3 linked regions of the Arabidopsis thaliana genome follow. The protein of the gene in region 3 purifies or fractionates together with the protein of the main gene of each other region. This does not show direct contact. Each region holds a gene or a part of one and is shown on either strand. Other genes may lie near its edges.

Region 1 (7,291 bases), on a different chromosome or scaffold from region 3:
GAGTTTTACAAATTTTGGCACAAATCTCGTCTAGATTATCCAGACTTGCATGATCAAGATGTGTTCAACAGAATCAAGCATGAGCCTTTTATCTCAGAGATTGGAATCCAAATGAGATTCTTTGATACAGTTTACTTTGGTGGGTTTTGTCAAACGAGCAGAGACATAAACTTGGTTTGCACAATGCATGCTAATTGTTGTATTGGTTTGGACAAGAAGCTTCATGATCTGAATCTTGTCCTTGATGATTGGAGAAAGTACCTGTCTTTGTCAGAACCAGTGCAGAACACGACGTGGAGTGTTCCTATGAAGTGTTTGGAAGATTGAGATTTCCTTCTTTCTTTGTTTTGTTGAGATTTGGATGAAAAGTATATTTAAAAATGAAGAGTTTATTGTTCGTGCAAGGAATATTCTTTAGCTCTCTAATCTAATCAAATATTTTTTTTGATGGTTAATTTTCTCTGTTTGTTAATGTCATTTTTTGTTTTCCGAGCCGAATGCTAGAAAGTACTAAAATAATCTTCTAGACTTTTAGTGTTTTTGGTTTGAAATGTTAATGTATTGAATAAATTGTGTTGTGAAATGATACGATTTTTGTTTCAAACTTTTTCTGAAATTTCTCAAAGTTTTTGATCTTATTTTCAATTACCGAAGCACAAGTTGTAAAAACGTATATATTTTTTCTTTTGAATATAATTTGACATTACATTAAAAAAAAGAAAGAAATGATACGATTTTGATTTTGGTAATATGAAAAATGATCAATGTAGTTTCATAAGTTCTATCAACGTAGATTTTGTAGTCATTTACCCGATTTGTAGATTTAAGTAGTTATTGGTTTGGTCAGTTATAATTTTGGTTTGGGCCTAGATTCGTTACAAGTTTTTTAAATTTAGATGAGATGGGCTGCCGGAGAAGCCCAACACAACATAGGTGGCTTGCCAATTTGCCCAGATGCTTTCGAGTGTAGGTTATATAAGTTTATCATATCTCCATTGGATTAAAAGTAGGCAAGATTTAAACAAAGTGATTCATCAATAATGATATGATATGTGTCATTCATTTACAAATTATGTAACACATAATAGATATTTTGTACCCTAAAATTTTGAAATTTATTGTACATAAATTTTAGAAAATCTGTTGGACTGTGACTAGTTCTTCAACTTATAGAGAGTTGAGTGTGTTTATAATCACATACTGCCTCTTTAAAAAACGTTAACCAAGTCGAAACTCGAATATGGTACTACCACACATGACAAAATAGAAAAAACACTTGAATGTTTACCAAGTAGTACTTGGTCCATTGGCCCAAAAAAAATGAGAATTTGTGCTCCTTTGAAAGGAGTTTTCAACTGCTAGACCCAACCCAAAAGAATGTACGATTAGGCACATTTTCCATAATTGATGTAATGTAAAGAAACACTTGAATTTTAAGTTTTACATATAATATTTACATTTAATTCATCTTCCTCATGAATATGTTGTTCAATTATCAAAGAACCTACAAAGATACAGTATTATAACTATAAGATCACCAAAGAAGAAAACAATCATTTGAATAACAAAAACAGTAAAACACCATATAATAAAACCGTGTTCTAGATACAAATGTAAACCATAGTATCTCACCTTGCTTATCGATTCATCTTTGTAAAAAAAACAAAAACAAATGTGTTCAACTTGGTTTGCAAAAAACAAATAACACAAGTACACAACCATCCATCCAATAACACAATCACAATATTTGTTTCCCAACATTTATGCAACCTTATTTTTAGTGGACACTAACCATAGAAGAACAAATTTCAGTTGTAGTGTTACAAAGTCCATTAAAATTACGCGTTATCAATTACAAAACCACATCTGTTTTTTTTTTTTTTAAACACTTTAAATTTTGTGTCAGATAAAATGAATATATGTTATGACAGCAATCACTTTCAAAAGGCCTATCAAATGGGTCCCAAATGTATAATCCTAATGTCAATCACAAGTAACCTAAGTTCGGCCCAAATACCTGATGGTCCACTTTACAATTTTTCATTAAATAAATATTAAGTAAATAAAATAACAGTAAAAAAAAAGAGTTATTCAGTCTGAAGAACATTAAATTAAGGTTATTAACGTCAAAGAAAAGATAATCATTTTCTCTGGTGGCGGCGTTTTAAAAACATAGATTTGAAATTTTTAACTTTATTCTATAAAACTAAAAAGCTCTCTGTCTAGTAGTATCTAAACGAATTTAACTAAAACCAGCTAAAAACAAGAAGCATAAAAATAATATCAAAGTAGAAACTAAAGGATCTAATAAGTAAGACAAAATTCGAAATTAAGATCCATGGCGGATTTTTGTCTCTTCTCTCATTGGATCGCACTTGACACAAATGATGGTTCGAGACATAACAGCAGAGAAGGGTCCGGTCCGAACCGAAACGGAGGAAGAAAGCAAAAAGGCAAGACCTTTGTTGTTGGGTTGTTGATAAAGAGAGAGAGAGGGGGACACGTGTAGTGAAAAGAGAGGAAGAGAGGTCACTCTCCGTTCCCGGTTCTGTCTCGTGCGGTGCGATTGTTGGGTGCCATGTCAGAGTCCGTTCCCCTATGAGCCCGGCGAATCCGAATCATATGCCTTTCTTTTCGCTATCTCTCTCTCTCTCTCTCTCCCTTTAACCCAAACCCATCTCTCAAAGACTTGACCTTTCTCTCTCTCTATCTCTAATTTATTTATCGTTTCGCGTGTCGCCTTCTCTCTTTCTCTCATTCTCTCTCTCTCTTTCCCTTCGTATCTCTCTCTCGTGAGGCCGTGCCCTAGAAGAAGAAGAAGAAGAAGCCCCTTTCTCCGGGACTTCAATCCCTAACTTCCGTCGCCGGATTTCTCGTCCTTGATTATCGGAGGACTCTTTAACAACTTTATTCCGATTTCAGATTCCCAGATTTGTAAGCTGCTTTCTCCTTTCTGGGTATTTCCTCTTTTTGTATTTGCTTATGTAATTTCGATGATTTATCTTACTTGGTGAGGGGTTTTGATGCTTGTGTAATGTTAATGCTGTTTAATTAAGGACTGATTTAGTGTGATTCGGTTTAATTGAGTTTCTTTGGGGGGGAATTGGGTTTATCTCCAATGAAGCTTTATGTTTAGTGCCAATGTGTGTTGTTTAGCTCTTTTCTCTATTGATTTGTGTGTGAAATTATGTTTGTTTGAGTTTCATTACCAATGGCTGTCTTTACTTGAATCTCAGTGATTCATGAATTCTACCATCTGTCGTTGATTATTTCAGTTATATAGGATCATTGATCTATGTTTTAGAACTAGTGTATTATTGCCTTAGAGAACACCTGATTTTGAAGTAGAGGAATGTAGTTTGCAGTAGAGGAATGTAATTAAGTATGAATTTAATGGAAGTATTCGTAAGGAGTGAGGGAACGAATCGTTTATTATAAAAGCTGTGTTAAGATTAGATTACTTACTAGGTTTGTGTCTCATCTTTAATTAAGACTTTTGATTACGGATGGTGAGGCTTCTAACGTTATACCACCATTTTTAGGGGTGACATCATTTAGTTTCTTAGCTTCTATAGCTTATATGCTTGGATGACGCTGTTTGATTTCATATCGGTTTAAAAGTGAATGAAATTGTGGTTATGGCCTTATGGTTTGGTACACTGTGCTTTGTCCGATGCTGCATCATTGATTTGAGTTATACTTCATTTAATCTTATCAATTTTTCTGTTCAGTATTTCTGAGCATGTGTACAATTTAAGTATTTAACTACCTCACTGTTGTTTCAGTGTCTCTTGATCTTAGATTATGGTTTACATTACTCGTTTTTTGTTTACAATTTTAGTGTAGAGACAGAGTTTTTTGAAGGCCAGTATTCTTTAGTTACTTCGGTAGCTGTGATTTACACATGAAGGTCTATCCGGTTCTCTATCAAGCATATGGTATGGAAACAGAAGTAGAAAATGAAAGATTCAGGCAGTGAAATGATTAAAAGAGATTGGGTCATGAAGCAGAAACGAAGAAAACTTCCGTCTATACTAGATATATTAGACCAAAAAGTGGATAGTTCTATGGCTTTTGATTCCCCGGAATACACTTCTTCCTCTAAACCAAGTAAGCAGCGGCTTAAGACTGATTCGACTCCTGAAAGGAACTCCTCTAAGAGGAAAGGAAATGATGGGGTAACTTCATTTTATCTTTCTGGTGTTCTTAAAAGTTTGTCTCCTTATTTTATTATATGGTGTTGTTTAATTAATCATTTTTCTTTCCTTACAGAATTATTTTGAATGTGTGATCTGTGACCTTGGTGGTGATTTATTGTGTTGTGATAGTTGTCCTCGGACCTATCATACCGCATGCCTCAATCCACCTCTTAAGGTAAATGATTTTTTTTTTTTCCATGTGTCGTTTGTAGTCGTAGATTCGCAACACCTAAATTTGGGAAACTTGTCTTACTCCTTATCTCGTCTCCTCCAGCGGATTCCAAATGGTAAGTGGATCTGCCCAAAATGTTCCCCAAACAGTGAAGCACTCAAGCCTGTCAATCGTTTAGATGCCATTGCTAAGCGAGCAAGAACAAAAACCAAGAAAAGAAATTCAAAAGCCGGACCAAAGTGCGAAAGAGCTTCTCAGATTTATTGCAGTTCTATAATTTCTGGAGAACAATCTTCAGAGAAAGGGAAATCTATATCGGCCGAAGAGAGCAAATCCACAGGAAAGGAAGTTTATTCTTCCCCGATGGATGGCTGTTCAACTGCTGAGCTTGGTCATGCATCTGCGGATGACCGACCTGATTCATCGTCTCATGGAGAAGATGATTTGGGGAAACCCGTCATACCCACTGCAGATTTACCATCTGATGCAGGATTAACGTTGCTGTCCTGTGAAGATCTCTCCGAATCTAAACTATCAGATACGGAGAAAACTCATGAAGCACCCGTGGAGAAGTTGGAACATGCTTCCAGTGAGATCGTGGAGAACAAGACAGTTGCTGAAATGGAGACTGGAAAAGGTAAAAGGAAAAAACGGAAGCGTGAACTAAATGATGGGGAAAGTCTTGAAAGGTGCAAGACTGATAAGAAACGCGCGAAGAAAAGTTTGTCCAAAGTGGGTTCCAGTTCTCAGACTACCAAATCACCGGAGTCTTCGAAAAAAAAGAAAAAGAAAAATCGTGTGACTTTAAAATCCTTGTCCAAACCTCAGTCCAAGACAGAAACACCAGAAAAAGTGAAGGTATGATTTCCTACTCATGATAGATTTTGTAGACATTCTACTATGCTGATACTAGGGAAATGAATTGTCTGAAACCTTAAAATGTTGCATCCACGCCTTTTTCTTAAGTGTGTTGTAGCACTAAAAAGATATAAAAGAAAAAAAATTCAGAGATCAGAGATTTGGTAGAGTTACAAGATTCAGAATCGTTTCAAGATTGTTTGACACTCTGTATTTAATGTTGAGTATCTTCTGCATTAATGTAAAGAGTCTTTGGTCAATATTGCATGTAGTGTTTCTTGTTCTGTCCTGAAGATTGTGGCTATTTTAAGTTCTTATATAACCAGAGTGACATTTTGTTTTGCTTATCATTTTGCGACTCTTCACAAACTCAATATTGTTTTGCCTGTTTATTAGTATAGTGGTTTCTCACAAGTAGTTATGATACATGTGACTATACCTCTGTTTCGGCAGATGAATTATGGATACCTCTTTTAACTGCAGGAGCTTGGAAATAGTTTGATTTTTTTTCTTTAGGAATTTAGAGTTGAAATTTCTTGATGGTCCTATTGATTTCTTTTTTTATTCGTTGTTGTTCTTGCATCATCTTTCATTTAGTATATGTTCTTAACCACTTATACGTACTAATGCAGAAGCTTCCCAAGGAGGAACGTCGTGCAGTACGTGCCACTAATAAATCTTCTAGTTGTTTGGAAGATACAAACTCTCTTCCGGTTGGAAACCTCCAGGTATCCATCAAAATAAAAATGTTGTTCCTTCAGAATTATCTATTATGATGCGCCCTCATTTCTGGTGACTCATGTGTTGCTCATGCTTGTTAATATCTCTTTTCATTCTTTTGTTTGTGGTTTCCTAACAGGTTCATCGTGTTTTAGGATGCCGAATCCAAGGTCTGACTAAAACCTCGCTGTGTAGTGCTCTTTCAGATGACTTGTGTTCGGATAATTTACAAGCTACTGACCAACGGGATAGCTTAGTACAAGATACGAATGCTGAATTAGTAGTTGCTGAGGACAGAATAGATTCTTCTTCTGAGACAGGTAAAAGTTCGAGGGATTCACGACTGAGGGATAAAGATATGGATGATTCTGCTTTAGGTACCGAGGGTATGGTTGAGGTGAAAGAAGAGATGCTTTCTGAAGACATTTCCAATGCCACATTGAGTAGACATGTGGATGATGAAGATATGAAAGTTAGTGAAACGCATGTATCTGTTGAGAGGGAGTTACTTGAAGAAGCACATCAGGAAACAGGGGAAAAAAGCACTGTGGCTGATGAAGAAATTGAGGAGCCTGTTGCTGCTAAAACTTCAGATCTTATTGGTGAGACTGTATCATATGAGTTTCTTGTTAAATGGGTGGATAAATCTAATATTCATAATACTTGGATTTCTGAGGCGGAGCTGAAAGGTCTAGCTAAAAGAAAACTAGAGAACTACAAAGCAAAGTACGGAACAGCTGTAATAAACATCTGTGAAGATAAATGGAAACAGCCTCAGCGAATAGTTGCTCTCCGGGTTTCAAAAGAAGGTAACCAAGAAGCTTACGTAAAGTGGACAGGCTTAGCTTATGATGAATGCACGTGGGAGAGCTTGGAGGAGCCTATTCTTAAACATTCATCCCATTTAATAGATCTTTTTCATCAGTATGAGCAGAAAACATTGGAAAGGAATAGTAAGGGTAATCCCACAAGGGAAAGGGGTGAAGTCGTTACCCTCACAGAACAACCTCAAGAGCTCAGAGGAGGTGCCTTGTTTGCCCATCAGCTTGAGGCTTTGAATTGGCTGCGTAGATGCTGGCATAAATCAAAAAATGTAATACTTGCTGATGAGATGGGGCTTGGAAAAACTGTGTCTGCTAGTGCATTCCTCTCCTCCCTTTATTTTGAATTTGGAGTTGCAAGACCTTGTTTAGTCCTGGTTCCACTTTCAACAATGCCAAACTGGCTATCAGAGTTTTCTCTTTGGGCTCCACTCCTTAATGTTGTGGAGTATCATGGAAGTGCAAAGGGACGAGCCATAATTCGAGACTATGAGTGGCATGCTAAGAATTCTACTGGGACG
Region 2 (7,535 bases), on a different chromosome or scaffold from region 3:
ATTATATTTTAAGTTATTTTAGTTTGACGGAGTATAAAGTAGTATACAAAGTCGACGTACGACGATAATGTACAAAACAAAAGAAAAAATGAGAGCTAACTACACCAATTATATGTATCGTATATCCACGTATACCAACCAACATATATATGACATGGTTAAGCGACAACATTTTTTACACATGTAACTATTATAAATTTTTAGTTTATAGCGTTTACAAAGACATTATCATAAAATTTGATTATTACATGACTGCATAATTTAACAAACATAGAACCTTATTAAAATGCATGTTCCAGTGCAATACATGTGGATTGATGTTGAATGACTCTAAAAGATATTGTTATGATACAACAGTATCTCAAAAAAGATTCAGACCAAATATTTTATTGTCTTAATTATTATTATTATTTTTTTTTTTCTATAAATCCGATATTTCCCCAAAAGCCAAAAGGGTGATGTGAGACCGTTATACTTGACATATTTTATATATTTTATTTATATAACCTATTTTGGATCGTTTCCAACTATAAGATATGGGGTTGATAATTTTTGATTGTACATGAAGATTTTGTGTCCTTTGTATTGTATTCTATAGTCGAACTTGGACCACGTGTAATAACACCGGAGCACGCATTTTATAAGCTTTATGCTAGTATCCATACGATTAAATTATAGTTCATCATCATTTGTTATACTATATATTGATGTCACATAATAATTCAGATTTAAATATGGTAATGTGTTTGTGAACTATCCAAAAAATTTCAAAGAAATATACCAAAAATTTAATAGTTAAAATCTGAAAACAAAGCATGTAATTTAAGCTACAATTGTTATTACATATTGTAAGGGCTACGCAATTAGTTCTTGACAGTTGGTTGACTACATAACACTTGCTGAAACCTACGTTTTAGCGTTGGATATCTCTCTATATATTTTTGGTCAATGTCGTTGGAGATTGAATCCTAGATTAAATCCTACAAGAAGAAGAAAGCTTCATGAGAAGAAGAAGATGAAGAAAAGAGAAGAAGCCAAGCTTGGAAGAAGAGAAGAAGAAGATGTCGTGACCAAAGGAGGAAGAAGAGAATAAGAAGTTGTCGTGACCACTGACCAAAGGAGGAAGAAGAGTCAACGACACAAATCCAACATAAGAACGGAGTTGGATTTGTGTTTTGTAATAAGGCCATTGGGCCGTAAGTGAATTATAGCCCCACAAGTGTTAGTGGGTTTGGTTGGTTAAGTTTAAGCTAAATAAGTTAAGGTGGATATAACAAACATAGTTGCACCAATGCATCTCAGCTCACCTGGTCTAAGCAACGGTTTCAAGAAGTTGCTCGCTTCTATTGCTCCACGCCTCCACAAGTAGCTCCTACACAAGAGTAATAACTCATTAGTATAGAGACACAAGATTATACAAGAAATACTTAGTAGACATAATTGTTCATCTCCAGTGTTAATCCTCAATAATTGTTCGATGCAGTATTCTTCTAATGAGATGAAAAATCATTTTTATAGAGTTACCACCCATCAAAACCATTTATACAAAACGTTTTACTTGGTCAGAGTAAAAAAATGCATACAAGTATTGTGTATAAATAAAAAGGTCATCTATTAATGTATAATCTGAATCAAAAAAAGAAAGAGCACCTGCACCAATAACAATGTGAATCTCATCAATGAACAAGATTGTTTGCCCATTCGAAGCATATACTTCCTTCAATATTGTTTTAAACCTTGTCTCAAAATCTTCTCCATAATTAGCACCAACAAGGAGTGAACCCACGTCAAGAGATTTCAGCTCCATGATAAATAGCGAAACCAAGCAAAGCATGTTAAATCTTCCTCTAGCCTCTTTGAGGGGAAAAGGTAAATAAACTTAAATATTTAAAAATATCTAAGTTTATATAATAACAATATTGGGTAAGTGAAAAGTAATTGTCATTATTTTTGACACTTATTTTTATAAGTTAGAAGTAATTATAATTTTTTCAAACAAAAAAGTAAGTTTTTTGTGTGTGAAAAAATAATGATATTGAGAAGGTAATTTAATTAGAGGTGATATTTTATACCTTAAGAAGTGTATTAAAGTTAATAATAACCATAAGTTAAAATTGGTAAGCTAAATGTTAGAAATCATTTGTGTTGTCTGAATTTTCAAGTTTCGTTCGTTTCGGATTACTTTCTTCTTCTGCAAAAACAGATCCCAACCATTTCAAAGGTTCGTCTTCTCCTTCTCTTCCACACTCTTCTCTGCTTCACTTTTTACTCTATCTTCGACTAGTAATATCGCTTTCGACTTCTCAAATTACTTCTCAAGTTACTATTTTTCTCTTCCTTTCTTTCAAATTTTCGTTACAAACTGAGTTTGAAACTGTTTGGGTTTTGTAAAGTTTTGATCTTTTCATGATATTGCGGTAAGAGATTGTTAATTCGACTTCTGGGTACTCACATTTCGATGCTCAATTGTTTATTCTTATGGGTAATTTTGGCTAGGGTTTTTTCCAATTTCTCTCTCGTTCTCTTTCACAAGGTTAGTCGATCTTGCTCATGTGGTATAGAGTTTGATGAATCGAGTTGTTTAGTAGCTATTGTACGAACTATCTCTTGATATAGTTGTAAAGGTTTTAGATTGGGAACAAAAAATTTCACTGTGATGTTTGTTTAGGTAGTAGAGTTCAATTGTGTGAAACTCTAATTTCATAGTTTGCTTAAGTCTCAGAACTAGCACTGAGTCTATTGTTATATGTGTTGTTTATGTAAGTTTGTTGTTATTGATGGGAGATATGTTTTGTGTGCAGAAAATGAGTAGTTTGGTGGAGAGGCTTCGCATACGATCTGATAGGAAACCAGTTTATAACCTAGATGATTCTGATGATGACGACTTCGTTCCTAAAAAAGATCGAACCTTTGAGCAAGTCGAGGCTATTGTCAGAACTGATGCGGTTTGTTTCTCCTCTCGAGCTTATTGTTCAGCTTTTACTGTTTTATGTGTTCTATTTTAATCCTTTTTTTTGTGTTGTTACTCTGAATTTGTAGAAAGAAAATGCATGTCAGGCTTGTGGGGAAAGTACTAATCTTGTAAGCTGCAATACATGCACTTATGCGTTCCATGCTAAATGCTTAGTTCCACCTCTTAAAGATGCTTCCGTGGAAAATTGGAGATGCCCTGAATGTGTAAGATTTTAGTTACGGTCCACAATTATGTTTTGGGATGCTACAGGTTCCATTTTTCTTACATGGAAGAATTGTTGTTTACATTTGCAGGTTAGTCCTCTTAACGAGATAGATAAGATATTGGATTGTGAAATGCGTCCTACAAAATCTAGTGAACAAGGTTCCTCCGATGCGGAACCGAAGCCAATTTTTGTGAAACAGTATCTCGTGAAGTGGAAGGGATTATCATACCTTCACTGCTCTTGGTAGTTACTGCGTGTCTTTTTTGCTGTCTGGACACGCTAATTATCAATGTTTCTTTCTGTGAACACTATAATATGTGATTTATTTCCTTTTACTAATCATAGGGTGCCTGAGAAGGAGTTCCAGAAGGCTTATAAGTCAAATCATCGTTTAAAAACCAGAGTGAACAATTTTCACCGTCAAATGGAGTCATTCAATAACAGCGAAGATGATTTTGTTGCCATACGTCCTGAGTGGACCACTGTTGATCGGATTCTTGCCTGCAGGTCTAGAGAATGGAATTAATTCCTTTATTTATCTATCTGCCAACTTTTTTTTTAATATCCTTGTTTTCAGCATAATCCATTCTCTAATAAACACGTATCTTTGATAGAGTGCTGCTTAACCTAAATTTACTGTTATCACGATTTTGGGTCTCTGAAACATGATAAATGACCTGCTTACCTTTTTTTTCTTCTTTTTAAGTTACCATTTTCTTAGTTGTTTCGTAAATCAGGAATTGTGACAGTTGCATTGGTTTCTTTTATGATATAGAGAGGAAGATGGGGAGCTGGAATATCTTGTCAAATATAAAGAGCTATCCTATGATGAATGTTATTGGGAGTCAGAATCAGACATCTCAACCTTCCAGAATGAAATTCAAAGGTTCAAGGATGTAAATTCTAGAACTCGCAGAAGTAAAGATGTTGACCATAAAAGAAATCCCAGAGACTTTCAACAGTTTGATCATACTCCTGAATTCCTCAAAGGTATTTGGATCACCTTAAATCATATACTATAAATGTTTCTTATATTTGGTACTTATAGATGTTATGATTTATTTGTTTCCTGCGATTGAAGGCTTGTTACATCCATACCAGCTTGAGGGACTTAATTTTTTGCGGTTCTCGTGGTCAAAACAGACGCATGTAATCCTTGCTGATGAAATGGGACTAGGTAATTTTTCAATTGTCCCACTTGGGTGGTCACATAGATCTTTTCATCCATTGTAAGGGGCCTTTGTTTTCTATTCCTGTAATGTTGTGAGATTTTTCCTGTTACAGGCAAGACAATTCAAAGCATTGCCCTTTTAGCTTCACTTTTTGAGGAGAACCTCATTCCGCATTTGGTAATTGCTCCTCTATCGACTCTGCGTAACTGGGAGAGAGAGTTTGCCACATGGGCCCCACAGATGAACGTGGTATGTATGCAGTTATACACGCAATGATCTGTGCCATTTGTATGTTTTTGTTGTTTGTTAATGGAATGGTCTTCGTGGTCATTTGACGGGTAGGTTATGTATTTTGGCACTGCGCAAGCTCGAGCAGTTATCAGAGAACATGAGTTTTACTTATCGAAAGATCAAAAAAAGATCAAGAAAAAGAAATCTGGACAAATAAGTAGCGAAAGCAAGCAAAAAAGAATCAAGTTTGATGTCCTCCTCACATCGTATGAGATGATCAACCTAGATTCAGCAGTTCTAAAACCAATTAAGTGGGAGTGCATGGTAACTCTTATTCTCTAATGAGACTTTACTTTCTCTTAGTCGTCTCTCTTTCTCTCTTACATGTTGCCTAGTAACAATTGTTTTGGGCAGATTGTTGATGAAGGTCATCGACTGAAAAATAAGGATTCAAAGCTGTTCTCTTCATTGACACAGTATTCAAGTAACCACCGTATTCTTCTGACAGGAACACCACTTCAGGTTCGTCATTTGAGTTTGATTTCTGAAGTTTATACTTTCAATAGTTGTATCTGAGCATAGTAGCTACGATTTGCAATGAGAATTGTTATATATTATCTTGCACTAATGTCTTACCTGATTAGTTGCAATATGTTACTGATGATTATGTGGTGCCTTTACAGAACAACTTGGATGAACTTTTCATGCTCATGCATTTTCTTGATGCGGGGAAGGTATCACAAGAATAGCAAAGATAAATAAGTTCGCATACTTAACAGAATTTTATGTAGCTAACATGTTATTTGATTGCACAATACTTGCAGTTTGGAAGTTTGGAGGAGTTCCAGGAGGAGTTCAAAGATATTAATCAAGAGGAGCAGATCTCAAGGTTGCACAAAATGTTGGCTCCACATTTGCTCAGAAGTATTAACCAAAACTATTTGTTCATCTTTTTTAATTTATATGTGTTTCAAAAGTTTGGTTGGAGGGAATCTTTCATAGTAATAATTTTATGATCTTAACCATGCTGTCTCGTATTTTGATTGCTCTTCCAGGGGTAAAAAAAGACGTAATGAAAGACATGCCCCCCAAAAAGGAGCTCATTTTGCGTGTTGATCTGAGCAGTCTGCAGAAAGAATATTACAAAGCTATTTTTACCCGTAATTATCAAGTATTGACAAAAAAGGGAGGTGCTCAAGTAAGTTCTTTTTAATTTTTGTTTACACTTTTTGGATCATTAAACCTCATAGGTGGGGTAGAAACCAGGTCAACTGTAATCGTCTAGTGAATGTATTGGTCTATTTCTGTTTCAGATTTCCCTTAATAACATTATGATGGAATTACGAAAAGTATGCTGCCATCCTTATATGCTAGAGGGTGTTGAGCCAGTTATTCACGACGCAAATGAAGCTTTCAAGTAATATCTCATTTCCCAAAAATGGTTATCTGTTTATTACTACTTATTAAAGTCGTCTGCTAACTTTTGCGTTGAACGTTTTCTTATATGTATCAAAGACAACTTTTGGAGTCTTGTGGAAAGCTGCAACTTCTAGATAAAATGATGGTCAAACTGAAAGAGCAAGGACACAGAGTCCTAATATACACACAGTTTCAGCATATGCTGGACTTACTTGAAGACTACTGTACCCATAAGGTATTTGAACTTCTTATATGTACAGTCTGTTTCAGTAGATTTTCATTCTTGTTGTTTTTGTAGAATATCATTTTGACACTGTAGAATCAACTCTACCATTTTCTAGTGTTAGAGTACTTAGGCACAATTATGGAAATACAAGCATGTGCTGAAATTGAGAGTATATGAGCATTCTGTGCCCAACTGAAAGAGCAAAGACACAAAGTTTCCTTATAAACACAGTACAAATCACAAGTTTAGCCATCTTCTATGTACAGTAGTTTTCCAATAGGTCGAGCATGTGCTGAAACTGTGTGTACAGAGTTCTCATAAACACACAGTTTCAGCATATGCTGGATCTACTTGAAGACTACTGTTCTTATAAGGTACTGAACTTGTTATCTGTACTGCGTATATACGAGATCTCTGTATTCTTGCTCTTTTATTTTGACACTTTGTTCTCATATACACTCGGTTCAGCACATGCTCGACTTACTGCCTAAGGATCTTGAAAAAGGTAGAGTTGATTCTATGTCTAGGTGCAATTACTTTCTTAGAATTTTTGTCATTACTTACTCTGTTGGCAATATAACTTCTTTATTCCCTCAAAGATTACTTTTTTTGGTTTCTTGAAATGCCATTATCAATACCATTGCTTTTGCTGACGCATGCACTTGAGACAACTTGTTTTTATCTCTTTCTAGCACATTTTTTTTTAACATGCAGTTAAGGAAAATTCTCATATGATTTACGCTGTTCATTTTCTTGTCTTTGTCAGAAATGGCAGTACGAGCGAATTGATGGAAAGGTTGGCGGAGCTGAGCGGCAAATACGCATAGATCGGTTCAATGCCAAAAATTCTAACAAGTTTTGTTTTTTGCTCTCCACAAGAGCTGGTGGCTTAGGAATAAATCTTGCAACGGCTGATACAGTAATCATTTATGACAGGTTTGAATTTCAGCTTCTCTTAGTGTCATCTGTACTCTTTTCATAGTTATTGTGTCAAGCTGTAAGAGGAACTATTTGGCTTGATAGCATAATATTTTGGAAGTTTAATGTTGATTTTTAAGTGAATTGGGTTGTGATGAGTGATAAAAAGGCACTTGGCTTTTTTCCAATAACAGCTATTTCTTGAACATGGATGTTCTAAGACAGCAGGAAGATCAGGAAAATTATTAACCGCTATCTTGCTAATAATTAGATTTTGTAGGCATGCAATATGGGTGGCGTCCATGGGATCCTGCTTGGATGGCAGTTTGTTTTGGTTTACGCCTGTTCACATTTTCATACGTACGATTGAAACTGTTTTATCTGTTTCTG
Region 3 (8,807 bases):
CCCCGGCCCAAAACATACCTAAGGCCAGGTGCTATATCCTCAACCTGCTTTGGCATTCATCAATCTACGAACTTTGGCGTGAAACGGTGACAAGATTAACAAGATTCACTCTCAACTACGATGTTCTACTATCTCAAATCTTTAAAAAAGTGGATCAAACTGTCAAAAGTCTAGTTCGATGGACTAGCTTCAACACTCCTCCAAATCTAGTTCGATGGACTATATATTCTCTTCTGATGCTATCCTTATCTTGGATTAGGCATCTAAACTATGGTTTTAATGGTGTCATGAGGTTTTACAACTTACAAGGATGAAAGTTATTTACTCCCAGTCACTATCTTAATCAAATGACAAAATGTTAACTAGTTTGAGTGCTTATATATTAGTTATGAATCTGAAATTTATTAGTGTGTACATAAGTGATACAACACTTAAATAACATCTACATGAGTTTTTAAATAACATAATAATCCATTATAGTAGTTTACGGCATAAGGTATGAACCAAATTTTTCATTGCACGCTGAAAAGTGAAAACCTTTAAAATGCATAATGACTAAGAGTCTATGACAACAGTAACTTACTATATATTAGAGGAGGGGTGAAAAAAAAAGTAGAGAGACTGGTCCAAAAACTTAACCCCACTCAATAAACCCAGACGTGACTTGTTTGACGATAACTCCATCTTTCTATTTTGGGTAACGAGGTCCCCTTCCCATTACGTCTTGACGTGGACCCTGTCCGTCTATTTTTAGCAGATTAATCCAACGGTTCTTATTCTTTCTTCGACCCTTCACGACATTGCCTCAAAGCCGTCCGATTCTCATCTCACGCCCAATGGACCACATATATCACCAGTACTCCGCAACTTAGCTGTCGTGTAGGATTTCACGTGGCATTTATTTGTTCTAGTTTGTAGTGCAAACATTGCAAGTTGATATGGTCCCCTATCGATCACCGTCGTCTCTTTAGCTTCACATCGAGATTCTTCTTTCTTTCCTACGTGTAATAGCATTTTTGATTTTGAGAATTTCTTTAGAACCGTTGGATCTCTCATCGTTGGTTGATCCATCCATCCAAATGGGACCTGTGTGTGCTCCATCCAGGGCATATGATCCCAAAGCCAAAAGAGTATTTCCAAGTGCTTTCTTTCTTTCTTTCTTTCTTTCTTACTAACCTTTTTTTTTCTTATGCTTTAGACTAAGAAATTTATTCGGCCATATCCACTTTTACGAATATACTTCTTACAAGATCTAGATTTTTTTGAGTTAATTCGGTGTATATAACATTGGCATAGACTGCAATTAAGTAAATGATAATGTGATAATGATGCGATGTGTTGTTATCAAGTAGTATAATATAGATGGCTAAATAGGTAAACAAAATTACGTGTTATATGTACACAATTAGGTAGAACCGTAGAAATTAAACTGAATAAAACCTTTATTAATTTTAAAATTATATGGTACAGATAAATACGGAAAAACATTCACGCTTTACGTAACAATTAAGTGGAAAGTAAAATTATCCCAAAAATATTTATATCACATCATTGTTATATTTCTAAGTTTTTTTTATTTCTCTAATGGTATATGTTTTACAGATTGTTTTTTGGGAAAATTCTTAAAGAGACTTGAAGAATGTTTTTTTTTTATTTTCTTGAAATGTTTGACACTTGAAACCGTTTAAAAACTAAATATAGTATATATCATTGTTGGTCTCATACCTTGTAATTCACCACATATATTATCAATGGGGAAGATTTGAAAATTTTTGGGGGATCACAAAACGAAGGAAAGAGTACAAAAAGAGAAGGAAAAGATAGAAGATATATGTTTTTAACTTCATTGGTATGACATCAATAAATAAATAGTTGAATGTACTTTAGTTTCTCTTTTGGTTTAATGCACATCATCTCGATCAATTGTCATCATCTTACATTGAATTATACGACCAGATCTGATAACAAGTGAATTCGTACTTGCCCTTCCCTTTCTTCTCATACGTCCTTCTAACTAATTTTGATTGTAACTTATAATTATATAACCATATTTAATTTTATTTTATCTAAAACCAATTGAAGCAAATTAAAATATCATAAATCTTGAGTCCCACATGAAGACAATATATAAAACTCGTGCAAATTTGCTTAAAATGCTTCTATGAGACCATGACCAAGTGAGATTAATAAGCGATTCAATGTGCAAATCAAAAGAGAAAAGAAGCTAATGGGTTTAAATATAACCAAACAGAATAATAATGCTATGTTTAGTTTTTCTAATTGAATCATACCTTTGTGTCCATCACCTACTTACCGGTCAGAATAAAGCAATTACGTCTGCAACCAAAAAGCACTAAGACTTTCGGTCAGACATGATCTCTAACATCGGACGAACCCTAAGATAACCAAAATAAACTATATCTTATATTCAAATCTCTGTTTATTTTATCCATTTATGTTTTCTTTCTTTCCCATAATTTTTTTTGTGTCTCATCAGACTCTCTTACCAAACTGAATTTATCAACATGGTTTTTTTTTTGGCCACATCAAAATGGTGGTTTATAAAGTAGACTAATACAAAAGACATTTCTGTTAATTTCACTAACAAAAATAATCTTAGCAGTACTATAGATTGGAAAAGGAAAAGCAAATCTAGCAGTAAGATTTATCAAAACTAGCAGTAAGAGTTTTAGATATCATGAAAACATCACAAACGAGTAGTGTTTTACTTTACATTTTTAACCAATCACAAGGGTAGTTCCGTAAGTTGGGAAAATCGTACGAGGCTTCACCTAGTTAAGGTTAGGTCACATGATTCCCTGAACTCGATTTTATAAGTAAAAAAGAAAAATTTATAAAATCAAAATTTTTTATATAAAAAAATCAGGTGGATTTATCAGACCCTACCATCGAGATGTCGACACGTGTCCAAACTCATTCATTGCCCTACTATTTTCTGTTTAGGGTTGCAATCACTCATCGCACACGCGCCATCTCCACCTTCCATTATTAATCTCTCATTTTCAACATCACACTCTTACGAATCATACGATTTTAATATCTCTGTCTCTCTCAACGTATTAAATAAAAATGGTTTTAAATGTTAGGGTTTTTTGTAGGATTTTCAATTATTAATCTCTATAATTCGATGAACTAAGTAAAAAAGCATCAAACTTTCTTGGCAGAATCACATTTTTCTCTAAACTAAATATGGACTGAAATTGAAAAATTAAACCACTAGCTAGAATAAAGTGTTGGTGAGAGTGGAACTCTAATTTCTCTCCTTTACTAATTATGTATAAACACAAAAATGCACCAAATTTTTAGGTTTGAAAATATCTAAGCATGGATAGGGTAATTAACATTTTTTCTTTCAATTTTGCAATATTTGAATAAATCCTATGAGGGTCTTTGGTACACAATAATTGGAGGGTATATAGTTGAGTCTGAGAGTATATTAGAAAGAGAATATTTCAAGTAATGAAGCTGACATGTTTATATGTACTTTGAGAGAAGTGTTGTGAGATTTGTACAAATGTATATGTACACTTTAAAAAGCAATATAAGATAGATAAAAAAAATATAAAGAAAAAAAGAAAGAAAGAAAGAAAGAAAGAGAGAGGCTCATATATATATAGAATTGCTTGCAAGGAAAGAGAGAGAGAGAGATTGAGATATCTTTTGGGAGAGGAGAAAGAAAAAGAAAATGGGAAGAGGGAGAGTAGAATTGAAGAGGATAGAGAACAAGATCAATAGGCAAGTGACGTTTGCAAAGAGAAGGAATGGTCTTTTGAAGAAAGCATACGAGCTTTCAGTTCTATGTGATGCAGAAGTTGCTCTCATCATCTTCTCAAATAGAGGAAAGCTGTACGAGTTTTGCAGTAGTTCGAGGTATATATCTACTTTTGTATATATATTACTTATAACATAAACATTTTATATACATATTAAGTAACACAAAAATGTCTTGTATGTATGGGTCTCTCTGTGATGTGTTGTTGTGTCGTACGTACGTGTTCTATCATATCCTTTTAAAAGAAGCAAAGAGGAAAAAAAATTTGGGATACCCCAAATCTGTATCATTTTATAACAAGTTTGCTTTTTTGATGTTCTTTTGTGTTTCTCTTTGATTTCCATTTTTGTTTTTGATTTTTTTTCTATTTCTCTTTACATCTATCAAAGTTTTTTTTCTTATATTTTATTGCTTATTTGTTTGTCTACTTAATTCACATTATCTGAGAGAAGAACAATCTATCTGATATGAAATTAGGGTTAATTTCTCTTGTGAGTACTCTTTAATTCACATAAGCTTAAAGTTTCCACCTTTTGATTCTGGGGGTCGTCCAATTCGATCAAATCACTCAATTTTGTTGTCAGATTGATATAAGTTCATAGGGGGATATTGTTTCCACGACAATCCATTTTAGTAACCCTTAGGGGTTTCCAATTTTGGGTTTTGAATTGACGCTAATGTCAAATTCATCTAAAGTCCGTTGGATATGTATACTTGGGGATGGGATTCATCCTTTTTTCTGGGTTCTTTAGATCTTCTCTTAAAAGACTAACAGATTTTGTTGTAAACCCTAGGAAACAGTTAAAAATCCCATTTTTAAAAACATGTTTTGAACTTGATGAGTAAGATTAATGGAAGAAATGATGTTTTTGTGTGGTGTGAAGCATGCTTCGGACACTGGAGAGGTACCAAAAGTGTAACTATGGAGCACCAGAACCCAATGTGCCTTCAAGAGAGGCCTTAGCAGTTGTACCCAATTCTCTTCTCTTTCTTCTAATTACCTTAATTAATTACTCTCAATTTTTACTTTGATTTTTAGAGTCAAATGATTAATGTTATAATTTGTCATATACTTCAGGAACTTAGTAGCCAGCAGGAGTATCTCAAGCTTAAGGAGCGTTATGACGCCTTACAGAGAACCCAAAGGTAAACTAATTAGCTTCTTCAGCTACCTTCAGAGAGTGTTTGTTTTTTTAGTAGATTTTTTTGATGGTTTTGATGTTGAAATAGGAATCTGTTGGGAGAAGATCTTGGACCTCTAAGTACAAAGGAGCTTGAGTCACTTGAGAGACAGCTTGATTCTTCCTTGAAGCAGATCAGAGCTCTCAGGGTACTACTTTGTTCATCAATATCTTTATACACTGATCTATTTCCATAGTAAGATTAAATTTGGTGTTTAATTCTGCAGACACAGTTTATGCTTGACCAGCTCAACGATCTTCAGAGTAAGGTAAATAAAGAAACACTCATTCTCCTCTCTAAATTCCTCATCTAAAAGTAATGTAACCAAGAAAACACAAATATTTGGAGCAGGAACGCATGCTGACTGAGACAAATAAAACTCTAAGACTAAGGGTAATTAATATACATTCTCATATCACCAAATTAATGCATCACTAAATTTGGTTATAATGTGTGTGTGTATATACATATGTGACAGTTAGCTGATGGGTATCAGATGCCACTCCAGCTGAACCCTAACCAAGAAGAGGTTGATCACTACGGTCGTCATCATCATCAACAACAACAACACTCCCAAGCTTTCTTCCAGCCTTTGGAATGTGAACCCATTCTTCAGATCGGGTAACTTTAGACTAGTATAACCAATTTGATTTGAGTTCTATTATAAGCTTTTCTTAAGAAAGTATCTCAAACTACTAAATTTTATGGAGCAGGTATCAGGGGCAACAAGATGGAATGGGAGCAGGACCAAGTGTGAATAATTACATGTTGGGTTGGTTACCTTATGACACCAACTCTATTTGAATCTTTCTCACTTAATCAATCCCTCTCTTTTTTTTTTGACATTTTTAAGATGATGTTTCTATTTTATTACCTCTCTCATGTTTTCTGTCTTGTGTGCATGTGTGTGTGTAATGTTTATGCCCTTCTATTATTCAATAATTTTTTCGACAATTTTGCTTCCTATTTTTACCCATTACTCCTAAACTTCCTGATCCAGTTTCTTTTAAAATAACTCCCATTTTATGCATGTTATCTAACCAATTCTCTTAACTATGATTTATGGTACGATATAACTCACAGTCTCACACTATCTATTTGGTGTTTTTTTGTTTGAGTCTTGAGAAGGGACCGCTTGTTTATCTCTCTTGTTAAAGAGCAACTCACTGGCCACTGCTTATGTATCTGTAGGCCCCACCTATATCATTTTGGCTATATCTATACTTTTGTAGAGGGAGTATTACTATAGAGAAGAAGATAAATTTGGTTCTAATATATCTTGCAGGTAGTTGATATTCTCAATTATCATGAAGATTTGATAGACAAGTTTATCAGATACCTTAAACATAGGTTTAAGATCTCAATTGAAATGTGAATTCACCCGACGATTAGAGTTACGATCTAAGGAAGCGTTTCTTGAATTTTGAGTTTGTTTGATCAAGAGTAGAATGCTTTTCTATTACTAAGGTTGTTAATGCTTATATTCCATGACCAAGGCCAAGAGAACAAACAAAAACATGGTGCCTCTTGATGTATAGTAATGGCTCTTAATGGTCATATACAGAGAAAAAAAGATTAATGTCGTTGCACAAGCTTGAAGTTACTTACTCCTCGTCTTCCTCATTAGTGTCTTCGTCTTCCTCATCCTCATCGCTCCCAATATAGGGCTTCATCTACTTGAAAACCAAATGCTCATGCAGTGGAAAAAGATAACAGAGGTTCAAATTAAGGCAAACAAAACTACAAGTGAGAAAGGGAAACTACAAGTGGTAAGATGTAATGTTTTGACTCAAAACCAGATCAGACAATGAAAAAAAGTATTGATACAAAAAGTCCATCCGGAAGCATAATTACCGCTTGCAGGATGTCATCAGAGATGTCTGTTAGTCGGCCAATGGCATAGATGGTGAGCGGACCAGAGTAGCGTAAATCCTCTAAATACTGTCTAAAAGCCGGACCGACCCGACAAGGATCACAGTCAAGGGGAATAGGACACCTATTGATATCCCAAAAGACTGTTGTTACAGCCACATCATCCTTGTCCAACTGGGTAGCCCAAAGGGAAACTAGTTGTGGTAAGAGCTTGTTTGACTCAAAAAATGGCTAACTAGGATGATGCTGAATTACCATCTGTTCATGTTTTTGACTAGAGAGATGGGTAGTGAAATTTTCAAAGCCTTTGCAAAACGCCTGTGGGACCTGTTTCAGAAAAAGACTTAAAAGACTTGAGACTCAAGGAAAATAATATCCATTATATAAAGATGACAACAAATATTAACGGAAGTAGGAGTGATTGAGAACGATTCTAGTAGAAGAGACGGCTCGCAGGACGTCGTTTATAATAGGCCAATGGCAGAGATAGTGAGAGGACCGGAGTAGCCTAAATTCTTTAAATGTCGTTTGATACACGGACCAACTAGACGAGCATCATACTCAGAGGGAACCGGACACGTCTTGATATCCCAGAAGACCGATGTTACGGCCTTAGCTTGCTGCCGCGTTGCCTTCATCATCATCTTCTCCTTTTAATCTATAACGGAAATCAAACATCAGATAAAGCATTCGAAAAGATAGATTGACACAGGTTAAATCATCCACTTCAGAGAAAAAGAGAGGGACATGGCCGTAAACAATGAGATAAGGATCGGCCTAATGTTTATAATGGGCTTGCGTTTAATGGGCCTACAGTTTCTTGAATCAGCCTTATGCATGAGTCCTAGTATTTTATCAACTTTTTTTTTTCATCTTTCTTTAGTTACAATAGATTTAAAGTGTTTTTTGTTAATGCCATTGCAAAATTTGGTAACTGTTTATAACATTGTTCCTCACTTCAAAATTTAAAGCACCATTAATAAAAGCTATACATATAATTATAACTTGGGTTTTGTGCAAAAAAAACAAACAAATTAACCTTTCATTTTAAATAAATGCAATTCAATACCGCAATATCAAAAGTAACCCGTATAACCTTTATTCGTGTATAGATTTTAGAAACAGTATAAGTCAAATTATCAAAACTATGTTGTTTTAAGCATTTTAAAAATAAGAATAATAATAATGTTGAAGGGTGGATTTGAACCCATGAACTATAGAACAAACCAAAGCATGCATAACCACATGCGCCGAACAAACCAAAAACTCATGGCTTTGTTAAACATATAAAAATATTCGAATAAAAAATGTGGGGAACTTGTTACCAGTTTTGGTTCTTTTTGGAGCCATTTTTTTCAACACAGATATTGTTAAGGAGTTTCAGGTAAAACTGTATATTATGCAGGGAACCACAGTAGGCTATAATGAAAGTCACACTGTGAAGTTAGCAGACAAGTTTTTACTTAAAGATGTGAGTTGTGATCTTTTTGATGTAAGTCTTGATGTATATGTTGACAAATTATATAAGTTTGTATTGCATATTCTATGACTTACGAAGTTTCTATGCAAGAAAAGCCGGGAGAAAATTTCCGTCAAGTAACTAAGAGATCGTAATTCTTGTCTGAAGAACAACCCTTTTTTATTATTTGAGTTTAGGTTGCCAACAGTGAACAAAGGGACGAGATACCATATGACAAATATCCTCTAACGCCATTTCAACAGTTAATCAACAGTGTCGGCTATATGCATGTGCTAACAATGCACAAGAACATTGTCACCATCCCGTGAATATGAATATTAATGATTATGAACGAGTTTGTAGAGTTCCAAGAGGAAGGTACTACCTTCTCATACTCATTGATCATATATTTTGTTTCTTGTTTGTTTTAGTAACTAGGGTTATTCGGATTGTTTTTCAAAATAATAGTAATATGTCAACTATATTTATAAAAAAAAAAAC

The links.
Region 1: the proteins of SEP3 (region 3) and CHR4 purify together in Arabidopsis thaliana (affinity purification with mass spectrometry, with the first as the bait; one study listed by BioGRID). This does not show direct contact.
Region 2: the proteins of SEP3 (region 3) and PKL purify together in Arabidopsis thaliana (affinity purification with mass spectrometry, with the first as the bait; one study listed by BioGRID). This does not show direct contact.

Annotation. Positions count from the first base shown.
Region 1 is NC_003076.8:18,088,831-18,096,121, reverse strand, and holds the start of CHR4 (chromatin remodeling 4), read left to right. Parts: upstream 1-2,214; 5' UTR 2,215-2,934; intron 2,935-3,841; 5' UTR 3,842-3,959; coding exon 3,960-4,178; intron 4,179-4,272; coding exon 4,273-4,374; intron 4,375-4,473; coding exon 4,474-5,229; intron 5,230-5,861; coding exon 5,862-5,957; intron 5,958-6,088; coding exon 6,089-7,291. Other genes in the region: AT5G44820 (Nucleotide-diphospho-sugar transferase family protein), read left to right, coding at 1-327. UniProt on the Arabidopsis thaliana protein: Chromatin-remodeling protein that binds DNA through histones and regulates gene transcription. May specifically recognize and bind trimethylated 'Lys-27' (H3K27me3) and non-methylated 'Lys-4' of histone H3. Probable chromatin remodeling factor.
Region 2 is NC_003071.7:10,711,607-10,719,141, forward strand, and holds the start of PKL (chromatin remodeling factor CHD3 (PICKLE)), read left to right. Parts: upstream 1-2,458; coding exon 2,459-2,533; intron 2,534-2,801; coding exon 2,802-2,945; intron 2,946-3,039; coding exon 3,040-3,177; intron 3,178-3,267; coding exon 3,268-3,422; intron 3,423-3,524; coding exon 3,525-3,686; intron 3,687-3,954; coding exon 3,955-4,169; intron 4,170-4,260; coding exon 4,261-4,356; intron 4,357-4,463; coding exon 4,464-4,600; intron 4,601-4,693; coding exon 4,694-4,906; intron 4,907-4,996; coding exon 4,997-5,104; intron 5,105-5,265; coding exon 5,266-5,316; intron 5,317-5,406; coding exon 5,407-5,506; intron 5,507-5,637; coding exon 5,638-5,780; intron 5,781-5,895; coding exon 5,896-5,999; intron 6,000-6,097; coding exon 6,098-6,236; intron 6,237-6,489; exon of another isoform or gene 6,490-6,592; intron 6,593-6,993; coding exon 6,994-7,163; intron 7,164-7,535. Other genes in the region: AT2G25169 (uncharacterized protein), read right to left, coding at 1,000-1,109, 1,308-1,372, 1,737-1,852, 2,325-2,408. UniProt on the Arabidopsis thaliana protein: Chromatin remodeling factor that represses the expression of embryonic trait genes (such as NFYB9/LEC1) upon and after seed germination and thus enables the developmental switch to post-germinative growth. Silences some MADS-box proteins such as PHE1 and PHE2.
Region 3 is NC_003070.9:8,590,762-8,599,568, reverse strand, and holds SEP3 (K-box region and MADS-box transcription factor family protein), read left to right. Parts: upstream 1-3,470; 5' UTR 3,471-3,706; coding exon 3,707-3,891; intron 3,892-4,677; coding exon 4,678-4,762; intron 4,763-4,871; coding exon 4,872-4,939; intron 4,940-5,023; coding exon 5,024-5,123; intron 5,124-5,201; coding exon 5,202-5,243; intron 5,244-5,326; coding exon 5,327-5,368; intron 5,369-5,453; coding exon 5,454-5,596; intron 5,597-5,688; coding exon 5,689-5,779; 3' UTR 5,780-5,993; downstream 5,994-8,807. Other genes in the region: AT1G24256 (uncharacterized protein), read right to left, coding at 6,580-6,648, 6,830-7,021, 7,103-7,174, 7,393-7,491. UniProt on the Arabidopsis thaliana protein: Probable transcription factor active in inflorescence development and floral organogenesis.